Oryzias latipes: one gene and its partner. The protein of the gene in region 1 purifies or fractionates together with the protein of each later gene. This does not show direct contact. Links are inferred from orthologs where the notes say so. Each region holds a gene or a part of one and is shown on either strand. Other genes may lie near its edges.

What was found.
Region 2: the proteins of slmap (region 1) and serine/threonine-protein kinase 3 purify together in Homo sapiens (affinity purification with western blotting; 3 studies listed by BioGRID and IntAct, with this or other methods). This does not show direct contact. The link is inferred for Oryzias latipes from reciprocal best matches to the Homo sapiens genes SLMAP and STK3.

The regions. Positions count from the first base shown.
Region 1 is NC_019863.2:32,508,833-32,512,354, forward strand, and holds part of slmap (sarcolemmal membrane-associated protein), read right to left. Parts: coding exon 3,496-3,522; intron 3,418-3,495; coding exon 3,277-3,417; intron 3,195-3,276; coding exon 3,057-3,194; intron 2,970-3,056; coding exon 2,801-2,969; intron 2,602-2,800; coding exon 2,551-2,601; intron 1,320-2,550; coding exon 1,197-1,319; intron 1-1,196. UniProt on the Homo sapiens protein: Associates with the striatin-interacting phosphatase and kinase (STRIPAK) core complex, forming the extended (SIKE1:SLMAP)STRIPAK complex.
Region 2 is NC_019869.2:24,043,228-24,046,475, forward strand, and holds the end of serine/threonine-protein kinase 3, read right to left. Parts: intron 2,942-3,248; coding exon 2,748-2,941; intron 2,610-2,747; coding exon 2,451-2,609; 3' UTR 521-2,450; downstream 1-520. UniProt on the Homo sapiens protein: Stress-activated, pro-apoptotic kinase which, following caspase-cleavage, enters the nucleus and induces chromatin condensation followed by internucleosomal DNA fragmentation.

The DNA of each region.
Region 1 (3,522 bases):
TCAAAAAGCTGCGTTTGCTCCTAACTTAACGTCCGGTAAGAAGACGGCAGGGAAGGCCTGAGACGGACACAGAGGAAGCAGGCAGACGTGTCACAGACCAGAACAACAGGACAGGTGAAGGATGGAGTCAAACACGCTGCTATGCAACACCCCACCAAGCATCAGCAGGTGAGAAACAGCAGCAAGATGGAGACGGAACAACATCAGAGCCGAAGGAAACTCAAACTGCACCAGATCTCAGAGCTGCTGCACCCAATGAGTGAACGGAAGATGCTGACGGGAAGATGATGTTGCAGACGGCACAATAAAACGGGTTAGAAATGACAACTGTGAGAGAGTAAAGCTCCTAACCCGAGAAGAAACTGAGACCCAACATGGACTTCATTCCAAAGCAGGACTAGATTGATGTGAAAGCTGAAATGGAAAAACCCAGGAGCTGAAGGAGCCGTTGGTGTTCTCCTAAACCTTGAGATGGAAACTGACCGAACAACAAACTGCAGCAGATGATGCTCAGAAAACGAGCGATCCACATTTGTAAAGATTTTGGACCAAACCTTCAAAGATGCCGCAGCACAAAGTTTTAAACCAGCATCGGACGAAGGACAATTACGAGGTTTCATTCAAGCTGATCTAAAGATCAACAACAGACGGATGAGACTCGACAGCGGCGGAGAGAAGACACCAAACCTTCTCGGGTCAGAGGTCGGTTCATGGTGTAGAGAAACATCTACAAACCCGCTCTCCCTTTCCAACATTGGTTTGAACCTGAAGAAACATCAGTGAACTCTCCTCCAGGACGCATGTGAGGAGACTGCAGCGGCTGCAGCGGCGCAGACCGCATCGCGAGTGTGTGAGGCGGCTGAAAGCAGGTTCAGCCACACACACACAGAGTTTCCAGTCGAGACGCTGCGTTTACGTCTCATTTCACCAGAGACAGCTCAGAACGTGGGACACTGATGCGTGAAGCAGGCCACAGCGCTGCAGACCAGTTATCTGGAGACGTGCTCCTCAGACGGACCAGAAAAGTGGCTCCCAGATGGATCTGGATCCAGCATTTCAGTTCTTGCACATGTCCTGATCGAGGAAGACCTGGTCTCAGGCCAGACGCGTTCTGAGGTTTCAGCTCTGCATCGAACAAACATTTGATCGTCTGTCTTTGGGAAGAAGAAATTAAGGAAACAGTTGAGATAGACTACCAATAACATCTTCATCTTCGTGAACTGCCCCCTCCTCGGTGTCTGTATCCGGCTCATCGTGGTCTTCGTCCGCTAGGTCTTCCACGGGCTCCCCTGCAGCTCCGGGAGGGACGAGGGCCACCTCTGTCATGTGACCAGATCAGATATACACATGGAACCTTCATCAGCCAGACATGCAGAAGACAGACTGTGAAGCCCGTTGATGAAGAAGAGCGAGACCTTCAGGACTCCTTTAGTGCAGAAATCAGTGTCCTCAAGCTCCTCCCCCCGGAAAAAGGAACCAAAGCAGTGATCGGTTTGGAAAAGCTCTGAATTAACCAAGAAGCCCAAAATTCACCTGACAGAACCGCCAGAACAAAGCCCAGAAAAACACACCAGCTCCTTATGAAACCAGACGGGTCCAGGTCAGAACCAGGACCTGCAGCTAGCATCCTAGCATCCTAGCATAGCGCATAGCGATGCGACTGGGCGTTCCACAGAGAACCCACAGTCATTCTAACAGACAGGAACACGAAGCAGGAACTCATGAAGGAATGAAATCCACCTCAGGAGTGATCATTTTCTGTGTTTACGTCCGTTTTTCTGGAGCACAGAGGACATTTTTACTCTTTTAAATGTAAAATTAAAGGATTTTTGATGTTTTTATGGACTTTATTGCTTTAAGACTTCTGTCACAACACCCAGAGCCAGAAGAACAAAGTTAAAGAGAAAACTATAAAATCTCTTATGCTTTGGGTAAATTGACCCATTTTGAAAGGAAAAACAAACAATTGTTACACTTTGAATCTATTCCAGTTTGTCATATTTAAGGTGACGTCAGCATTTTATAAAATACAATGGTTCAGTTACTGCCTTTGTAATTGAGACAGAAACAAACATCAGTTTGTCACAACAGGAGGTTTAAGTGTAACGCTAATAGACCAACGATTAAATGAATTAAACTAAGTACATAAAACATCTAAATTAGATAATATAGAGTGGAAACTGTTGGGTCGCTTCACCGTCAGCAGCAGCTCTAGTGCAGGTATTTCTGATGCAGGTCATTCAGGAGGAAATAGATAAACTTTCCCTCAGCTGGATTCACATTGTGTGACATTTCCGCCTTAAACTACAAGTTAATTAGGTAATTAAAATGGAAAAAAATCTTTTTGCGTTTATGGACAACAATACAATGTTGTGTGAATGAGTCAACCACTGAAAGATCATAAAAAAAACTCAACGAGGAGAAAAGAGCGACAGCAGGAAGTGCACAGACAGACCATGCAGGACGTTTCATGCATCGTTAGTGCAGCTCAGGCTGATTAACCCCACAGACACAGCAGTCCCAGAGCGGACCAGCGGGACGTGGACTCACCCAGACTGTTGTTTTCTTTACCGCTTTTCTCCTGCAGCTGCTCTAACCGCGCTGTAAACAACAACAACAACAACAGCAGAAAGAGAACGTTCAGCTGGACCTGCAGCAGCTCCAGTCGGCCTTCTGCGAGGAACCGACAGCTGAGGTGGAACCGAACAAAGGCGTCGGCTCGGTCCTCCGTTTATATGCAATGAAGCAGCAGTGGAAGGCTTCAGGGAGCAAACGGCGTTTAGACGTGACCCAGACGTACCCTGAAGAGCAGCAAGTCTCTCGTTGGTGAAGTCGTTGTCTGCCTGCAGAGCTTCGATGCGAGCCTGGAGAACCTGCTCCTTCTCCTCCATCTCCTCTATCTTCATTTCCAGCTCCCTCTTCTCCGTCTCTCCTCGTTGGGTCAGCTCCTCCTGCCGGCCCTCCGCCACCTAAAGGAAAGAAGACGATCGGGTGTTACTGCACAAATGTAGAGGGGCGGGAATCGAACCTTTCAGAGTAAACGCACAAGGCCTCACCTTGATTTTGTCGGTGAGCTCTTTTATTTCGTTGACAGCGGCGTTGTACTTATTGGCGAGCTCCCTCAGCTCCTCCTGACCCCTCTCAGACATCTCCTTCAGGTGGGTGCACTCATCTTCCGTGTTGCTGAGCGAGCGCTGCAGAGGAGATCACGCGTTGGGTTCACCGGTACTGAATCCATCAGCCTGAAGGGACAAACAACTCCTCAAAGGGTCCCACCTCCACTTCGGAGAGCTTCCTGACCACCTCGATCTTCTCCTGCAGGACTCTCCTCAGAGACTCCTTGGCCGTCGTCTCATAGTTGTGTTTGTCCTCCTGAAGAGCCAAAAGCTCTTTCCGCATCCCCTCCTCCGTCTGGGACTGCAGGAGTTCCAGACATGAATGAGAACTTCTGTGCCTCACCTTTTTACAGAGGAGAACCTGAGAAGGTGACTTTACCTTGGAGTAGGCCTGTAGCTGACTCCC
Region 2 (3,248 bases), on another chromosome or scaffold:
CCAGCTTGCATTATAGGCGTCACATGGATCACTGCTTCAAGCACAGTTTAAAAGTTGTAGTAACCAGTCAGCCCAAATCAAGAGGAGACCTAAAGCTGCATGTTTGATGGGGCATTTGCAGGGAAATTTGATTCATCCTATAGAAAAATATTGATCTAAAACACTAATCCGAACTAATCTCTAATAACCTGAAGAAGAAAAAACAAGATATTAAACCTGGAGTAGCCATGGTTTGAGATGAGCTGGACAGAGGAGGAAAATCACTTCAAATATGGACCTTTTGCAGACATGGGAAAAAATTGCTGATGTGTTTAATTTCTGTTGTAGAAAGGCAGCCATGTTCAGATGTTATATTTCCAAAAGATAGCAACTTTCATAAGTAAATATAGATTTTTTGTAATTAAATTATTGCAGATTTATCTACATTAAAAAAGAAAAGAAAACTGGGCTGTATCAAATATGTTGATTAGAATTGAAAAAATGTATAAAACCTAAATTCAGTAAACAGTTCTTCATAAACTTTTTTTTTAACTTTTATTACATCATAAAGCTATTGCAAACAAAATATAATAAATAAGCAGTTGAAATGTAAATTCTTCATAGGCTCTACACCCCTATATCAGCACAAAAGGAAAATGACAACGTTAATAAAGCTTGGTAATAAAAAAAAAGTAATTTTAAACAGTACGTCCCAGCCAAAACTTTAGGACATCATTTTCTTTTTTTAATATTTTGGAGCAAACCTTTAATTAGAAAAACAAAATGTAATTGCAGTACTTCTTACTATGCTTTCTGTACAACATGCTTTCACTCTAAACATAGTGAGTAGACTTCAAATCCAATGTAGTCGTATTCTATGTCATGAAAACGAAGAACACGGGGTTATTTTACAGCATTGGTTGTGTACATAAACAGCCGCTTCAGAAAGCCAGAGAGACGTGTAACAGTTCAAAAACAGTCACATCACATTCATGTGGAACAACAAACGACAGATATGCTGTGCATTCAATCGAGTTATGATTTGAATAAAAAAAAGCATAAATTAGATTAAATAATTCCTTAATATTAGACACTAGAAAGCATTTTCTGTGAAAATGAATGGGTCAATGGCTCCGTGATATGAAAATAGTCACACGCCAGGTTGTCTGTATGAAGCCTTTCCAATGTCTACTTGGTCATTAGAAATGTAATCTTCAAATAAACTTACCTGACAATTCCTAGGAAGCAAATAAAAAGCTATATAGTTTTCAGGTTATAAGAGATGTATTTAAAAGCACACAAGACATACATAGCAGGAATTCAGTCAATGGATAACACATCAAGTCGAGAACACACTTGTGTATTATTGTTGAAATCTAAAGTTATCCTGAAAAAAAAAAAAAAGAAATAAAAACAAAAGCAATGTTTTTTTTCGTATCCTGTTTGTTTACGACCACAGTAATAGAACCGTTGCTACAGCTCTGTTTAGGTCATTGAACCCATTATTGAAGTAAAGGAGGGTTGAACAATCCAGGTCTTTGAGATCCACGGCTCTGCTCGTGTCCACTGTCAATTATCTGGATCAGGTGAATCCAGCCAATCAGAACCTGCAAATCCTCAACGCAGGTAGTCAGCAGTGAATAGAGAAGAATTCGTGGTAGATGTCTAGAAACACAGCTGAGCAGCCCTGATGTGAAGGATCCAGTCCCACAACAGGAAAAAGCTCAAACATGACACTGAAATCATCCCATCATGTGATTACCTAGAAACTATAGTACATACCATTGCTTCTCATTTTCATGTCTTTAAAGTTGTCACTTTAAAGATTGATAGTAACCTGGGAAAAGTGGTTCAAGAGGCACTGACATACTTGGTGTCTTTTTCAGACCTAAAAAAAACAAAAACAAAAAAAACTTTTATGATTCTTCTATATTTGTGTTCATCCTAATAAAGATTTGCTGCTTCAGCAGTTTTCTTCCCACTTATCTACAAGAGAGCAAATTGGTGAAACTAAAGACAGATTCAATTTAAAAATGTTAAGGCTTTATCAGCTTCCTCATTTTGTTTCATCTTTGGTCATGGACGAAGCTCCACAGCTTTAAATGCAGGTTCGTTTAAGCAAGGCTCTATATTTACATTTGACAAATCAAATAGACATATAAGTGGATCACTTCATTTTGTACTAGGCATGCAACTGAAAACAGGAAGTTCTGTTCAAGACTCTCGGGTGTCAAGAGGCCTAGAGTTACTTCTCTTTTCAGCCAGAATCAGCTCCACAGAACACAATTGTCTTTTTTCCAAACTACATCCGCCTGCTGAAAGGGAAATTCGTTAACTAAATGGACAGAAAGAATCCCAACTTCATTCAAAGACAAGTTAGCATTTAGTCTGGACAGCAGAGGGAGTTCGACTCCACTGTCGCTGGATCTAAAGTTTCATGCTGGTTTGGAACACACGACGGCCAGAAACCCTCAGAAGTTCTGCTGTCTTCTCTTTTTAGCATCCATTGCATCCAAGATAGGCTGGCGTTTGGCAGTGTAGCGCTGTCTCAGCTCCTCAATCTCTCGCTCCATCATGGGATCTAAGGCACTCAGGCGCAGCTGCAGCTCTTCAAAGTCCAGGTTCTTCAACTGGTTGACCAAAAAAACAAAACAAAAAAACAGCAATAAACTGTAAGAACACTTGACTTGTTGTGCCCTTTTAAAATCATGGAGCCCGATATTTATGAGGTTTTTTTTAATGGGGAATAATACACCTGAGAAACTCACAAAGTCAAAGTCTCCATCCTGAGGAACTTTCCAGTTGTCTGGAAAGACGTTTTTGGATTGGATGTGGTAGCCGGACGGCTCCTGCAGCTGGTTGTGGTTGTAGTTCTCTTGCTGTTGGGTTGCCTTGTTGGAGTCCTGCTTGTCAAAGTAGTCCATGAAGGCTGGACGGATGGGCTGTTGGGCGGTTGGATTCCCTGGGAAGTTGGAAGAAGCCCTTTGTTACTAAAACGGGTTTGGCCATTTTTTACGCTTTGTACCAAAAAAAAAAAAAAAAAAAAAAAAAAAAAAAAAAAAAAAAAAAAGAGTATAAACATTTATGGAAACTAGAGTTAAAACATTGAAGACAAATAACTGCAAACAATTTGCTATTTGTACACTTTGCCAAATATTTTCTCTTAAATTATTTGATGGTACTCAGGACCTTTTCTTTAAAAACTGCAGTTGTTAACCCTTTACCACCAAACGTCACCGGTGACACCTAAATAACACTCTTTGACAGAT